Linked DNA regions of Caenorhabditis elegans. The protein of the gene in region 2 interacts with the protein of the main gene of each other region in a pairwise test. Each region holds a gene or a part of one and is shown on either strand. Other genes may lie near its edges.

Region 1 (5,260 bases), on a different chromosome or scaffold from region 2:
AATGTTAAATAAACTAAAGATAAACTTCAGCCCCTGAAATTTCAATTTTGAATGTTTTTGACTACTTCCAAAATCGGTAAGATTTTTTCAACAGCTGGTTTTGCAAATTTCATAGTAGTTTAAGAATAGAAAAACATTTTAAATGCTTCTAAATTTTATTGAAAAAGATCTGAAAGTTCGACATCTATGTTAATAAAAAAAGGCATATAGTTTTTCCAAATATCTTTCAGAAAAATATATCTTTACTTATTTATGAACAACTAGGAAAAAATAATAAACCATTTTGCTGAAAGAAAGTCAAGTAAAAGTTGTGAAGTTCAAAATGCCAATTCAAATTTTCAGATGACTTTCCAACCAAGCTCTTTCATTTCACAACGTACTCCTGCTGGTTCATCCAACTCTACTCGTTGATTGCAATCGCTGGCTCCCACATCCTCGCAGTTTATGGAACTCTGTACTATGCGCGCTTTACTCAGAAAAAGACAATTTTTGCTATCATCGGAATCGTCTTTTTATCCATGCTGTCTGTGTGCTACTTATGGTCTCCAGAGTTTCCAATTATTTTCCATCCCGAGTTTTGGGGTTGGACGGAAGAACGAAACAAACCTCTGGTTAACTTTTTCTTTTATCTTAACTATGTTGTACAGGTATTAAAAACGGGGAGAATTGACAAAAACTATATATTTCCGGTTCAGGGAATTGTTTTCTTTTGCTTGGGTCTCACTGATATTCTTATTGTTTACAAACTCAGCACAATCAAGGAATCGGTCTTTTCAAATGAGAAAAGCGCCACCGTAAGTAACAAAACTTATACTATCAAAATTAGTTTTTCTATTCAAAATCTTTTATACCCTTTTTGTCAAAATTGTGCCATAGACCAAATTTGTTAGGTCGCACCAGCAGAAATGATGCAAAAGATGCAGGTGTCGGTGGTGAATAGCGGAAACATGATGGCTCCCCGGAAGACTTCACGGGTCTCAACCGAACTCAAAGTCTCTATAAACTTCATCATCGTATCAATGTTTCTTCTTGTTCAGACGCTCATCTACAATATTTGTACACTGTAAGTCATCATTGTTATTTCCGTTCCCTTTTCTTATCACTGTTTTTTTTCAGATACGAAGACAACAACCTTTGTCTGTTCCTACTATTCATTGCACCAATTTTCCGTGGAAGTAAATGCCTTGCCTACATGGTCTCCGGAAGTGCACTTCGTAACGCAATTGTCAACCTGATTCTTTGCCGAAAGAAATTTTAAACTTTGAATCTCAATTTATTATAATAATTGCTAATTTATTTTTTATTCAATTCAATATCTCTTTTTCTACGCTCATTTCAATCTCATCCAAAAGTATACTTTACTAAATGAAGCTGAAAATCTCTATTTTTTTCCCTTGTCACACGGTGTTGTCATCCTCTTTTCCGTTGATGTTGTTTTTCTCTCACACCCTCTTGATTTTCAGCGAGCTGTTTCAGAAACCAAAAACTAGTGTGTGTACTAAAAGCCGTGAGAATATGATTGCTATATTCTGCATTACAAGTGCAAGACGAGAGACGCCTGCCTGTGTGCTCATGAGAATTTCTCTCCTTTTTGTCCCTTCTTTTTTTTGCAGTCTGGTGTTGCCGTCGTTTCCAAAAATAACGCAACTTTGGCAAATCGTATAGTAGAGCCTCCTTTCATTAACTTCGACGCACATTGTTATCAAAGAAATATAATTTTCTTATTTTTTCCAGCATAACACCTCGAAACCTCAACAGGCTCAAACAAAAATCGTATTATCAGTGACATGATTTGGAACTAACTGAAAATTGTAAAAACGTGAAAAACGAGCACATGTACGGCGTTATCACTAGTTTGAAGTTTTGAACCGATTAAAAGTGCACCTGGAGGAAAAAGAGGAAAATACCTTTTTATCATTTCTTCATTTTCACTCCTCACCCTGAAGAAAATATCCTCACTCTCTTGGCAAGACCCCCTAGACATGCTGATCAACACTAATAGCACTTCTGATGCAACCACAATAATTGATGTAAGCCATGTTTTTTCTTAGAAATTGAAATTTAAAAACAAATTTTGGCAGCTGCAAAACCGCTACTATCACGTCAACGCTGCACTGGAAAAAACGAGTTTTGACGTGGACGGGTTCAAGTGGTGAGTTCAGTTTTAAAAAGTTAAGAAAATAGAAACAGGGCTCGAGAAAATCTCAAATAGAAAGGAAAATTTTAGATCATTCAAATCTAGAAGTGGGTTATAATTAATACATATGAATTTTTAATTGCTAATTTCAAATGGTCAAATAATGAAAACCTGACATTGTAAATCTGGAAGAATTACTGAAAGCCTAAGTGTGTTTAAACTAATAGTTTTTTAAAAAATAACAGGAATAATTAATTATTTGCAAGAATAAACCATTTTAAAATAAGCAACATGACTGAAAATGATCAAATGTTAAATGCCGGAGTTCAAATTTTGCACACAAACTTGCTCATTTTATAACTTTAGAAATACACAGCTCAAGCAGCATTTTCTGTATTAGCAAGTACAAATTTATATATACTGTAAAAAAAATACACCTAACCAGATGGTCGTCAAAACTCAAGCTTCAAAAAACTTTGAAGCTCATGTATACTCTACAAATTCTATCGACTTCCTGTTTCATTATTTTATAATTTTTTAAAGCATATTGTTTGAACAATGTTTTTATTTTTACCATAATCATATCAAAAAGTTTCCGAAATTTCAGGCAAATTGTATTTGATTGTCAACAAATTATATTCACGCTCATATCAGAGATGGCAGAATTTTGCTCAATTGACCTGATTATTCATTGCACCGATTTCAAGTCTAGTTCCACTTTTGTAATGCTTGAAACATTAGAACGCTACAAAAAACGCAATACATTGCAGACCTCACAATTCGAGCGCAGCGGAGAGTCAGTTGTTCATGAGTGGCTGCCAGGCGGTCGCCACGTGCAACTGGAAATTGACCAAACGATTCAGTGAGTGCATCATGCACTCTTAATAATTAGGAACATTTTTCAGCGAAAGTCAATTTTCCGGATTGGACTTCAGCCAGCCGTTTGACAGTTCAAATGTTGTGCTAAAAGTTGAAGATGAGGAATTTCACGTACATACTTTTGTATGAATCGTTGGATTGTCATAAGCTCATGTTTACTTTTCAGGTTCTGAGCATGGCTTCTCAATATTTTAAAGTGTTATTCAATGGGTCTTTCATTGAATCCTCCGACCTAACAAAACCAATCGAACTGAAAGGAATATCGTCTTGTTCTTTTAGAAACCTTCTAAATTGTATATATGGATATCCCTCTGTGTTCAGAATAACACGTCAGTTTTCATTTCCAGACAGCTAATTGAAATCATTTTCAGGCGGGAATATTGTAGAGCTACTGGAATTAAGCCACTTTTTTGATTGCAAAAACGTTACAATGTTCTGTGAATATAATTTGTGTAATGATACCTGTTACAATATCCGATCAACTCAGAAAATGGAATGGGCTATCCGATATAATTTGAACACTTTGAAGGTAAAACATAAGATTCGTATTGATTATAACTCGTTTATTTTCAGAATAAACTTTTACGACATGAACCTTATTTGGTAGATCTTCTAAGTCTCACTTAGAAATTTTTTAACAACAACAGATACTCCCCTCATTGATTGTGATCTTGTATTTTATAAACATTTGAGATGTTATTATAGTTAATAAATGATTGCAGAACTTTTAGCTTGGTGAAAAGTATTTATTATCATTTTTTTAAACAATAATTTCAAAAGACGGATTTAGGTTTTTGAATTTATTGCGTTTTGAAAAAGTGGTTTGAAGGATTTTGTAATAAAAATGTTAAATAGTTTTCTATCGGAGAAAAATGCGATTGTACTCTTTCTGATTGAAAAATATCAATTTTTCGTCAAGTTTAAAAGTTAATATAATTTTCAAGTGCCGCGTCCAAACGCGAATAATCTGGAGGTTTTTCTCGACCGTTTTCAAAATAATATTCAAAATAACAAAGACTACTTTGGAATTTTTCCGCGTTCTGGTCCTTGCAAATAAATTTTGTTGCATTACGCCTTATCGTTTCAGTCATAAGCTTGTTGAAAATTTCAGAGCATTTTTTTCGTGGTTCTCGGAAAACATGAATAGTTTCGAACAATACAAATAATAGGAAGACGATTTTTATAACTCAACTGTTTCCATGGGAATCGAGGTTACAAACACTTCAGAAAAAAAAAATTAAATATTGTCGGTGCTATTGTTCGATAACTTTTCTAGTATTGAGTTAAACTGAACAGAATAATTTTGAAAATACTCAAAAACTAAGAGGCCGATGCTTTTTGATAATTTCATAGGTGGCACATTGAAAACGTTTAAATTCATTTCACCAAAAAGATACTATAAAAAATCTTCGCAAAAATACCTGTATGGCATCATGTGAAAGTGTGCAACACTAATAAATACACAAACTAGTTGAAAAAACTGCATTCAAGTAACAAACATTAAAATAATAGTCTGATTCATTTTCATTACGATTTATTAACAAAGCAACGCAAAAAAAAACTGATCAAACTCTAAGTAGCAGCACATCGTGTCAACCAATTTTTGAGTAAATAATTTGTATTGGTTATCATAGAAAAGGTAAAAAATCACACTTGTTTGTTCGCAAACACTTCTGATAAAAATTGTTTACTATTTGAGAACCAATATGGCAAAGTTAATCATTTTTGACATCACATTTTCTGAATTGAGAATTTTTGCTGTCACATTTTTTCCGGTCAATCTAAAAATCAAACCACAACAATGCATTCATCTCTTATTGTTTTCTTGTTATCCTAAACCCTAAATAGATGTTTGCAAGAAGAAGAAAAAACACCTTTATGTGACTCAGGTGTTTTTATAATATATCGTTAGGTCAGCTTTTTTTAAAAACAGTTGTATTATGATATAATTTTTCTACATTTTCTTCAAAACCGCTCTGTTATCCAGTTCCAATGACCAATAAACTATGTCACGTTATCTTGATGTTTATGTTGTTATCTTGACCAAAGTACGGCTGTTCATGGCAATACTGTTCTATCCATAATCGTAGCCTAATGAATACATTTTATGCAAACGGTTTCCTGAATTTTTCCGACTTTTTCTGTGAGTCGAAATAGACTACGCATTTGTCAGTGGAAGAGTTTGTTTATGCGTTCCACACTGACCACGTGATGGTGCCTCGTCGCGCACTACATTTTTTCCTC
Region 2 (6,847 bases):
AAAAAAGAGGAAAACATTTTTTTGTTTGCATGCAATTTTTTTTTATGTGGCGATAATTTTTTGATGTTATATGTCGGTTTTGTTTCTGATAGGTTAAGGGTGCATAGGACCTAGCCAAGCCATTTAAAGCTCTAAGCCTTAAAGTCTAGTGTCTTTAGATCCTTCCATAACCACCTAGATCCCTTGAAGAATCTCAAAAGCCTTTCATTCAGCCACCCGATCAAAGCTTACGACATCAAAACCGAGCTTATTACCCAAATTTCGAAATTTTGTCGGTTTTGTTTCTGATAGGGTGTAATTGGTAATCTAGATGCCTTCAGGCTCTCCCGTTCTTCGCTAGATAAATAAAACAGCTTGATACGCCTAAACAGGAAGTTGCATCGCTCATACCTACAGTTCGACCTTTCAAATCTGAAGCTAAAGTCTAAGCTTGATCCGTTTGGACTAAATAAAAACTTTTAGCCCGAATGTATGTAGACCAAAATGTAGACTCCCTGTACTATATGTAGGTTCTGTATTACCCTGGCTTACACCTGTTGTTCATCTTCTAGCTCAGTTGTTTCTTACTCAAAGTCCTTGAGTTTTCTAGTCCAAAGACCAGTAGGCCCTAAGCCCAAGGAGGTCCAGTAGGCCCGTGAAGCTCAAGACCCCTTGACTTCAAGAATTTTCAACTCCAAGGTCCCAAGCAACCCCTACCCCCCCCCCCCCCCCCCGCTCCTAGTTTTTTTCCTCATTTTTCTGCCAGCCTAGTCTCTGCTAGGCAGGCGGAGCCAGTGTGCCGGTCGGTGCCAGCGCGGTGCGACGCGGAACGACAACAACAACAGAAGTTTCTAGTATTAGTCGTAGTAGTACTAGTTGGTCGACTGGAAAAGTACCTTGAGGTGTCAGAATTGCAGAGAGCCAAAGGTTGGCCTCAGGTCTAGGCTTAGGCTCAGGCTTAGGCTTAGTCTAAGGATTAGGCTTAGGCTTAGGCTTAGGCTTAGGCTGAGCAGGGGACAAAAAGAGAGCAAAAAGAAATCCCCAGAAAATTCAATAATTCTGAAAAAAACCTGACCTTTTCGACCGGTTTTTGGGCTTTTGGACTTAGAAGGCCTACACAAGATTTTTCTAATGCTCAAGTGTATGAAAATCGAACTAGCGTTTTTGATGCCTCGGTGCTTATCACCTTAGAATTCCTATGCCCGTGGGCTTTGTTTTTTTTTTGAATTTCTCAAGTTTGGAACTGAATGAAGCAATGCTTTTGCACCCCCGTTTCCCTTGCTTACTCGGTTCCCTGGTTCCTTGCACGATCCCAGACCACTTTTGGCTCCCCGGTTCCCAGGCCCCCCTTAGCCCCGCTGGTCCCGTACTCCTTCCGCTCCCTGCTTGTTCTCCGCGTCTCTGCCGCTGCCGCTGCCGCGTCGTCGTCATTTTCCAGGCAAAAACATATGAAAAGAGCCATGGGTGGCTCCAGGTGGTGACCCAGCACCGTGTATTTGTGTGTGTATTTCTCGATGCTTGCAGCAGCAGCAGCAGCAGGAAAAAAGAGTGAAATAGTGTGGGGGAGGTGTGGCAGCATGTGAATCATGGATAGATGGGGGGGGGGGGGGGAGGTTTTGTAAAGAAGACAGAAGAAAAAAGTAGAGAACATACAAATACAGAAAGATATGAAAAAAGTTTTTTAGTATGGTACTTTATATTTGGTAAAAATTCGAATAAATATTGGTCCTTCTTCAAGGATCCTTTGGCCAAACTTGGGGTCTAAGCTTAGGCTGAGGTTTGAGCTCAGGCTTGAGCTTAGGCTGAAGCTTAGGCTTGGGCTTACTTATTGAAACCCTATGAGATAAAATCCGGGTCCTAGGCCCAAATTAAGCCTATTCTGCCAGACGAAAGACCCATGGTTCTTAAGTTCCCATTGAGACCAGATCGGCCAATATTCAAGGGCCTCTTTTTGAAACTCTTTGAGATAAAATAAGGGTCCTAGATCAGGATTAGCGTGGCTAAAAATAAAGTACTTAGAGCCCTGTTTGTAAGCCTTCCAGCCTAAGTATGACCTGCAAGATTAGGGCTTTCATAGACCAAATCAAACTTTCAGACCGAAATTCAAGTCCCTATGCCTTTTTTGATACTCTTTATGATAAAATTTTGGTCCTAGATCAGAATTAGGGTTTCTAGGCTTTTTTTGCCAGACTAAACAGGTAGGAAACGTAACTCAACACTTGGACCATTTAGGTTATTTTTGGGGTATTGTGGCCCTTTTTGCTTCATAACTCCTTTTTGGGCCAAAACTAGAGTCTCTAGAACCCTGTTTGTAACCCTTTCGGGAAAAGTTATGGCCTGGCCAAGACTGGCCAATATCAATGCCTTTACAGCCCAAATCAAACGTTCAGACCAAAATTCCAGTCCCTAGACCGATCACCTTTTAGTCCGTAATTTGGCTCCCTACCTATAAAAAGTATAAACATGCCAAAATTAGGTTGCAAAAAAGACCCAGTCTATGATTTTTGGCATTTTAGACTCCGTTAGGCTGAAATATAGCTCAGGATCCTAACACTTAGACCTTTTTGACCTAAATATAGATTTCTCAATTCAGAATTTCAGTTTTTAGACCTCCTAGACCTATTTGAGAGAATTCTCAAAAATTGTGCGATTTCCCATACCCTTATCAATTTTGTGTTGTTTGGTGGTTTGTTGCTCCTTCCTTCTTCTTCTTCTTCTTTTTTGAATGTCATTTTTTCAACCACTGGTCATTCTTTTTCCCACACTCTGCGTCTCTAAGTGGCCAGCGGGGGGGCGCCCCGACGTGCCAGTCGACACCAGGAGGGGCGCGCGGAACGAGCCGATAGAGCGTGCGAGACGAAGAGACGCAGGCATTTTTCCGCAGTGCTCGTCGCGTCGCATCATGCCGCTTCCGCACTCCGCCGCGCGCGAGGACTCTTCGAGAAAAAGACGAAAAAACGTGAGTGAGTTTGGCCTATCTGGAGCTCTCTAGAAATTTCTGGGACCTGTCTAGGCTTGGACCCATCTAGGGTTGGGTTTGGGCCCTTTTTTATCAGTTTTCAAGTGCAACATTGAATTTCAAACGACACTCCGTTATCCCTCTAGTGCTTGATGTTTAGCCAATTTAACTTGAAGTTTTTTTTTAAAGAAAAAGTTCCAAATTTCGGGCCAACTCCCTCTAATCACAGATTAAATTATGAATTTAAAATTTATCAGCTTTGCACCACCGACCACCAAAACAAAATCGATTTCACCACTAGAAGCCTTCAAGTTTTGAAATTTACTAGTTTCTAACGACACTCCGCTATCCCCTAGCGCGCTCTGTTTATCCAATAATTTTTGGTGGGAATTTGAAATTTTACATGACTTTTTTGTGCATTATTACCAGCTTTTTTGCACAAAAAAAAAAGAGAACTTGCAATTTTTCAAACTTTCAAACGACGCTCCGCTATCCCACCAATCGCGCCCTGTTTATCCAGTAAGTTGTCTATTGGTAATAAATGTTTTATTCATTATTCTATACATTTGTAGTTGATATGTAACTAATATCGCTAAAATAAACCAAAATAAAAACATGGTGCATCGATAAGTTTTGCAAACTTAACTTTACCAGCTCTATATCTAAATTGTCTCTGGGTTTATAAAATAATTATCAACTGACAAAATATTGCTCACCTCTTTTTCTACATTAACCCGTGGAAAAAATTACAAATAGCATAAAAAGCCGAGATATTGGCTTGCCTAACATAGTTTGCCCAAAAAAAAACTCGACAAAAGTGACCAGTTTTCTCTGAAACAATGACCTGGTCATTTGAACTGGTTTCTCACCATCCCGTCACTCTTTCAATTGTCTACTTCTGTGTTTGGTTTTTTTTTGGGAGGTTGTTTTCATTTGTTGTTATATGGGAGAGAGAGAGTGAGGCTATTGTTTTATCTTGGGACTCCTCCTCTCGGAACTTTTTAATAATTGTTTCATTCTTCATAATTCCTTACATATTTTGGCTGGTTTTGGTTTTATCGGAATTTTTTTTTTTAAATTAACACTTCTTAGATAGAGTCTGTCGAAGAAAAGTTCTGAACATGGTGCATCGAGGCCATATTTCGGTTACGTTTAGTTAAGCTGTTTTTCATAATTTTTTCTACATTGATTTCATATGACTCAACTTTGAAGTGTAGGGCTCCTATGTAGGCGATAAAACGCCTACCTGCCTGGCCTTCAGGCGATCTCCGCCTGCCTCAATACTTATGCTAAATCATACGTGTTTTTTTTTTCTTTTTTTTTTAATTTGAAAATCATCAGTGTAAATACACCTAAAATGCATAAAAGGGGAAAAAGCAGGCAGGTTTCAGGCAGGCTTCAGGCCCCGCGCCTGCCTAAAATCTAGTCCATGCACCATGATCTGAAATCACTATCAACCCAGTTTTCAAAGGTCCTATCCACATTTTCCACCAATCCCGTTAATCCGTACTACATGTAGGTCAAACACATGGTTTTTGAAATCCAACTAGATATAGCCATAAATGTTTGTATGTGGTCAAAGTTTCTCTCTCATTTTTCCAACAAAAAAAGAACGCACACACACACATATGTTTGTATGTGGTGTCTACCTATTATTATCTATGGTTGGACGGGCATCATCATGTCACCGGCAGGCACCCATAGCTCCGTGCCAGGCCGCTTGCCGCCGCGCCGGCAGGCATGCGGTCACGCGGAATGGGTTACGAGGGGGTAACCTGATACCACGAGTTGGGGTGACCAGGGTATGTGATAAGGTAAAAGGTTACGTATTTGAGTATTTGAAAATAAAAGGTTAGTGATTTTGAATGGGAAATAGGAAACTTTGTGAAATTTAAAAAAACATGGTGCATCGACTGAAAATCCTTCGTCAGCTTTTTGACGTCTTGTATTTCAGTTGTGTTTGGTGTTATCAAAACATTGTCTAGTGACAAAATGTTTATTATAACCTTTTCTATAATAATGTAGTTTAACAATTTTTGATATCTCTTTAAAAAACCAAGATATGATCATTCAAAGTAAAATGCCAAGCACAACTTCATTGGTTCAAATCTTGGTTGTTTTTGGTTCAAAAATTGGCAACAGACAAAACATTTCTTATATCTTTCTCTATAGTTCTATTTTTAAACATTTTTTGATATCAGTAAAAGTAATCGAGATATAAGCTGTCAAAGTTAATCGGCAAAACATGGTGCATCAACTGTTACAGTGATCGTACCCCTATCGTAATTTTTCTGTAATTCTACAGTAGCCCTACAGTAATACTACAGTAGCCCTACCGTAATTTTTTTGTATTTCTACAGTAGCCCTACATTAATACTACAGTAATCCTACAATACCCCTCTAAAACCTCAAAGTTTTCATGTAGTAACTGAACCCCTCCAGGTGCAAAAATTGCTGCCAGGTGCAAAATTTCACGAGGTGTTCGGAAAAGTTTAGACTCCTTAAATGCTAAAAATCTTTTTGGACCCTTGGATTCTTTCACCTCTCCTCATACTAATATCCTACTCTTTCAAGACTACTAGTCCCTAGTCACCAAAACATAAATGACGAATTCCTACGTGCGTTCTTTTGCTCCTTTTGCTCCGCGCGGAGCCCACCGAACGCCGGAGCCAAAACAATTATTATATGCCGTGTGTGTGTGTTGTGTGTGTTCCGCGCGGATAAGAAGAAGACGCAGTTGAGAAGAAGCGTGCCAGTCGCCGTGTTTGTTTTGGCGCAGCGTCGTCGACGGGGTGGTCTTGAAGAGCGGCGAGGAGGCGCCTGGTACCAGTAGTCGGGGTGGGGTGGGTGAGGGCTAGGGCATCAGAGAAACCAGACGTTTTTTTTGTTCGCATGCTTCTTCTCCGCTGTGTGTTGTTGTGCTGCTGCCACCTCGAACGTCGGAACATCATGGCACTGCCTACCGCGTCGGCCGCCGCCCGGGAAAAAGAGAAACACACAACACACAACACCCTTCGAGGAGTTCAGTTTCTAGATCAGCTGACACAGAGTTGTCAACAAAAACAGAGAGCATCATCACAGAGACTGGCACCGCTGCTGCAGCTGACCACTGGGGCGGACGCCTAGGTCATTGTGCTCTGGAACTACCTAGTTGCTTCCCTGAAGTTTGAAATGCATAGGTGTTCAATAATCTTACTGTAATGCTATAGTCCGTGACTCCTCTATACGTCTTGTTCATTCATGTCGATGCACCATGTCTTCCTTCCAACTTTGACTTCTCATATCTTAGCCCAGATTGTAGATATCTTTAAATTTCTAAGTATCAAATCATAGCCAAGAATATAATACACATTTTGTTAGTTGACAACTTTTTTATAAAACCAAAGGTAGCCGAGATATAAGTTGTCAAGCATACCGACGATTCACCATGTCTCCCGTTTTTTTGACAACCGATATCTTGGTTCACATTAAAAATATCAAGAAGTGTTCAACTACGGAACTTAAGACACTATACTTGATAAATATTTTGTTAATTGATAACTTTTTGATAACACGAAACATAGCCGAGATATGAGATATCAAGGCTATGGTCGATGCACCATGTCTTCCACTTTTTTACTGCCAACTTTTTTCTCTTTTATTTTGCATCATATCTCAGTTGCCTTTAATCTTATCAAACCTTTTTCCACTGACAAAATACTTCTCATCTTCTTTACTCCAACTTTGCTGTTGAAAATTTCTTGATAACTTTTTACCGAACCAAGATAAAAGCTGTGAAAGTAGGTCTGCATGACATGGTGCATCGACTAGAAAAACTGCGATCTTTGACTGCTCATATCTCTGTTGCCTTTGATTGTATTGAAAAGTTGTTCACTGACAAAATATGTGTTATTCCTTTTTCTACAACTT
Region 3 (4,893 bases), on a different chromosome or scaffold from region 2:
ATTAAGAAATTAGGAGTGAAGAACTGCTACTTCCCAATGTTCGTATCAAATGCTGCCCTCGAACGCGAAAAGACTCATATTGCTGATTTTGCCCCAGAAGTTGCTTGGGTTACTCGTGCTGGAAACTCTGAAATGGCCGAACCAATCGCTATTCGCCCAACTTCAGAGACAGTTATGTACCCATCTTACAAGAAATGGGTTCAATCTCATCGCGATCTTCCAATCAAGTTGAACCAATGGTGCAATGTTGTTGTAAGTATTGATTTTTTAATTGAAATTAGTTAAAAATTTTTATAAATTTCTGTTGAATTTCTCCTAGCTGTCTTGCTCCACTGCAAAAATATTATCATAATACTTTTTTCCTTTACAGCGATGGGAGTTCAAGCATCCAACACCATTCCTTCGTACTCGTGAATTTCTCTGGCAAGAGGGACATACGGCTTTTGCCAACCCAGCAGACGCTGAAAAAGAGGTTTTCCAAATCCTTGATCTCTACGCAGGAGTCTACACTGATTTGCTCGCTATCCCAGTTGTGAAGGGACGAAAGAGTGAGAAGGAAAAGTTTGCTGGAGGAGATTTTACGACGACAGTCGAAGCATACGTGGCATGCAATGGTAGAGGAATCCAAGGAGCAACTTCTCACCATCTCGGACAAAATTTCTCCAAGATGTTTGATATTTCGTACGAGGATCCAGCGAAGGAAGGAGAACGAGCATTCGCTTGGCAAAATTCGTGGGGTCTTTCCACTCGTACCATTGGTGCAATGGTAATGATTCACGGAGATGACAAGGGATTAGTACTTCCACCAAGAGTTGCCGCTGTTCAAGTTATTGTTGTTCCAGTTGGATTCAAGACTGAGAACAAGCAATCGCTTTTCGATGCTGTTGATAAGGTTACCAAGGATTTGGTCGCGGATGGAGTAAAGGCTGAGCACGATTTGAGGTTTGAAATTAATAATGAATGCAGTTATGTACGTTTTTAATTACAGAGAAAACTACAATGCTGGCTGGAAGTTCAATCATTGGGAATTGAAAGGAGTCCCAATCCGTTTTGAGGTCGGACCAAATGATTTGGCAAAGAACCAGGTAACCGCTGTAATCCGTCACAACGGAGAGAAGAAACAACTTTCCCTGGAAGGACTGTCTAAAACTGTCAAATCTCTTCTTGATGAAATTCATACTGCTATGTACAATAAGTTGGTTAAAATTTTTAAAAGTTGAAATAAATTCCATACTTCAGGGTACTCGCTCAACGTGACTCTCACCTGAAGAGCACCACGTGCATCGAAGAATTCAAGAAGCTTCTTGACGAGAAGTGCATTATACTGTCCCCATTCTGTGGTCGTCCAGACTGTGAAGAGGAAATCAAGAAGGCATCAACAAGAGAAGACGGAGAAGGCGCACAGATGGGAGCCAAGACGTTATGTATTCCATTGGATCAACCAAAACAAGAACTTCCATCAAAATGTCTTTTCCCATCATGCACATACAATGCCAAGGCTTTCGCTCTGTTTGGAAGAAGTTATTAATTTTCACGTCTACGTCCCTAATAACTAAATATTCAGAAGCATAGTATTTATTCGTTGTCCTCTGTTTTTGCTATTTATTTTTTTTGGTGATTGTTTCATTTGTCTTCATACATCCTACTATTGCTCGTTTTTTTCATTTGTTCTGAATATCATTAAAAATAAAAATTAAAAATAAAATTAACAGAAAAAAAAGAACGTGGTGCCCTACATTGCGTGGTGGTATGTGGCAATGGGGTCAGGGGTGGGGAATGATGGAAAGAACATTTACACTTTTAGTTTTTTATATTAATGTCGTCATCCAGTGAATCCGATTCCGAAGGAGAACGGTAACATCATTTAACTTTAGATTTCCAGATATTTTCAGCGGTCTTAAATTTCAGAAAACTTCCTTTGTCGTATCGTAGAAAAAGACGACGTGATTCGAGTTCAACAACCAACTCCGAAGTATCCGATAATGATAGAAAAAAACGGCAAAACGAGAAGCGGAGAAGCCGTGAGTCATCCAAGATGAAGCATCAAAAAACGGCGAAACGGGACAAACCAATGTGGAAAGAGGAAGGAGAAATTTCATGGTGAGCACAGTTTTCATTGCATTAGAAGATTTCTTTCATTTTCAGTGACAGTGAGAGTGACGTCTGTAATTCCTCGAGTAGCAACAACCGGAGCCGCTGTCGTGATCGGCGAAGAAGAACTGATTACGGAAGAAGACGTCACAGAAATTCAGATTCTAGATCTCATGAGAGATGGAGTACTAGAAGAAGACAGACAACTCCAGAGGGAAATTTCAGATGTGATGAGTGTGGATGTAACCACTACACTTTGAAGGTAATTGACTATGGACACAAAAGTGCAAGCTTCTGACGTAATAGATGAAATAAGCATTATTGCATTGGTGACTCGGTTTGCAACAATATCACACAGTCGCAAAGTTTGCGATTTTCGCGCGAAGAATACGGTGCTCGGTCTCTATGCGACTGTTTTTGTTAAATTTTTTAAAAAGCGTGCGCCTTTGAAGAGTACTGTAATTTCAAAATTTTATTCTGCGGAATTTTCAGGAGTTTTTAAGAATAATTTTTCTCCAGATCTTTTGAGAGTTCTGGGGTTTATGGTTATATTTATTTTTTAAATATACTTCTATTGAAAAACTATCGTTTTAAATTCCGCAGAAACTAGATTTGGAAATTACAGTACTCTTTAAAGACGCGCGCCTTTTTGTATTGAGCAAAAATAAATGTCGTCTCGAGACCAGGAACCGTATTTTTGTGCAATAGTCGCAAAATTTCGCGTCTGTGTAATAGAAAGGTTTGAGTTTAATGGAATAACTCACTTTTGCTCAAAATTTCATATATTAAATTAGTAAACACCTCTGCAGCTTGACACCGACTGGCACACACAAAATATTAAACTTTCAGGGTCTAATCCATCACGAAATGAACGACCACAACCTCAATGCAAAATGTCATTTATGCCAGAAATCTTTCGAGAATAAGAAGACATTCCGTGAACACTGTGAATTGGATCACACACCGGAAGTGGTATGACAGTATTCATTAACAGATTCAATTTGAAATATTAATTTTAGGTTAGATGTGTATTCTGCAAAAGCTCATTCGATCAGCCACTGGAAATGAACGATGAACAATGGGCACACTTTTTCGCTCATATTTATGGGGTTAGTAATTCACCATTCGAATCTAGAAGTCGATTCTCCTGACTGACATTTTTAAAACCATTTTTTCCAGGAAATCCTCTACTCCCGCCTTGCCGACTACGAGGATCGTGCTTTGAACACTGCATGAATTATATATTTGATTCGATGGTTAGCTTAATAAAGAATTTTTCTGTTGTACTTCAACCTTTTTCTGAAATAGGAAATAATCACAAGTTGTCTGAAAAATGTGATCAGCTATCCAGATCAAACAGTGAAAATGTTGTCTGCAATGATTCATAGCTGAACATCTGAACTCTTAAATTTTCAGCGAATCATGATTTGCATTGTGATATATTATTCTTATGGTTGCAAAAGAAAAAAGATTACGAAAATATCTTGTGACAGAGTAAGAAACCATTGAAATTTAATTAATCACCGTGGAGACAGGTGTGCACTCTGCTCTTATTATATTATCAAAACGAGAAACGCGTGAGCAAGAAGTGGGCGTGACTTGGTAGAAAGGTACTTAATCGAGATGTTGAGCCAACTTTCGAGATTATTCTAAAAGTTTCCATATCAATAAACTTTTTTGGAAATTTCATCTTGCAAGATGTCGAAGGCAACGTCCGCGTGTTCTCAAAAGGTGAGATTTCTGAAATAATACTTAGGATTAAACTTGAAATTTTATCCACATAACTTTATCTAGGAAAAAACTTTTTCGATTTATGTTAGAACCTAATAAATTTCAGAAGACCTCTCTCCTGGATCCGAGTCCAAAAAAGTCATCTGTAATTGAAACAACAACCAAAAAAACTTCTGGGATTGAGTCCAAACTATTGCCAAATGAGCTTCCATCAACTGGAACAACTGGAACTAGCGGTGTTAAGAATGGGGCTTCAAGTCCAAAAACTAGCCCAGCAAAAACCACTACTACCACAACTACCGTAGTCACTCAAAAAGTTTCAAATCAACCAACTGCACCCATTTCAACACTTCCACCTCGTAAGCCAACAGCCCAAAAAAGTCGCGAATTGTCCCCTCCAAAAGCGAAGAAATCTCCGAGTCCAAGTCGTACTGGTTCAGGTGACTCTGGTTCAAGAAAGGAAAGCAGTGCATCCAGAAAAGATTCTTCGAAAACCGAAAAATTGGTCAAAGATTTGGAAAATGTCAAATTGGAGAAAGGAGGTAACAAACTCAGGCAACAATGGGCAAACTGAATACACTTAATTATATTTCAGATTCCCGTGAATCGGCTACTCTTCCAACTCCGAAGCAGTATCCAGCTTCGGACGATGAGGAAGACACGGTTAGTGGTTAAACCAAAACCTAGCTAGAGCTCATATTACTCCTCTTGAGTTCTGAAACTCGTGGCAACCTCTCTTTCAAAATTGTGATGGGAACACTCTGAACACACAAAATTATTCCATTCTTGTTTGTACATAGGAAAATGTGGCAACTTTATATTTCGGGTGTGTGAGGTCAAAATGACTTTTAGTGCATTTTTATTGCTGAAAAACATCCATGACAGCATATAAGTATACTTCCTGAATAGTGGATAGCCACACTTTTTAGCAATCAGTATTTACGAGTTTATTATTCACTCAGTCTTACTCAGAAGTCTCAGAAGTCTGAGAAGTCAGAAGTCTAACCACACTTAAATTTCCTCATCAAGTAAATTCTCTACGGTTGTGACAAGGTCTACTTAGAAAAATAA

The links.
Region 1: the proteins of znf-782 (region 2) and C15H9.2 interact in a two-hybrid assay, tested with the Caenorhabditis elegans proteins (one large-scale study listed by BioGRID).
Region 3: the proteins of znf-782 (region 2) and ztf-31 interact in a two-hybrid assay, tested with the Caenorhabditis elegans proteins (one large-scale study listed by BioGRID).

What each region holds. Positions count from the first base shown.
Region 1 is NC_003284.9:6,116,794-6,122,053, forward strand, and holds C15H9.2 (BTB domain-containing protein), read left to right. Parts: upstream 1-1,732; 5' UTR 1,733-1,982; coding exon 1,983-2,030; intron 2,031-2,081; coding exon 2,082-2,152; intron 2,153-2,744; coding exon 2,745-2,859; intron 2,860-2,907; coding exon 2,908-2,999; intron 3,000-3,042; coding exon 3,043-3,139; intron 3,140-3,182; coding exon 3,183-3,345; intron 3,346-3,387; coding exon 3,388-3,545; intron 3,546-3,589; coding exon 3,590-3,643; 3' UTR 3,644-3,744; downstream 3,745-5,260. Other genes in the region: C15H9.3 (7TM GPCR serpentine receptor class x (Srx) domain-containing protein), read left to right, coding at 343-647, 696-794, 891-1,063, 1,117-1,258.
Region 2 is NC_003282.8:1,063,573-1,070,419, reverse strand, and holds the start of znf-782 (C2H2-type domain-containing protein), read left to right. Parts: upstream 1-2,894; 5' UTR 2,895-2,938; intron 2,939-6,847.
Region 3 is NC_003281.10:7,239,574-7,244,466, forward strand, and holds ztf-31 (C2H2-type domain-containing protein), read left to right. Parts: upstream 1-1,791; 5' UTR 1,792-1,816; coding exon 1,817-1,854; intron 1,855-1,908; coding exon 1,909-2,100; intron 2,101-2,145; coding exon 2,146-2,353; intron 2,354-2,940; coding exon 2,941-3,063; intron 3,064-3,110; coding exon 3,111-3,200; intron 3,201-3,270; coding exon 3,271-3,327; 3' UTR 3,328-3,377; downstream 3,378-4,893. Other genes in the region: pars-1 (proline--tRNA ligase), read left to right, coding at 1-252, 371-942, 989-1,195, 1,240-1,528; osm-10 (Major sperm protein), read left to right, coding at 3,790-3,822, 3,929-4,364, 4,418-4,485.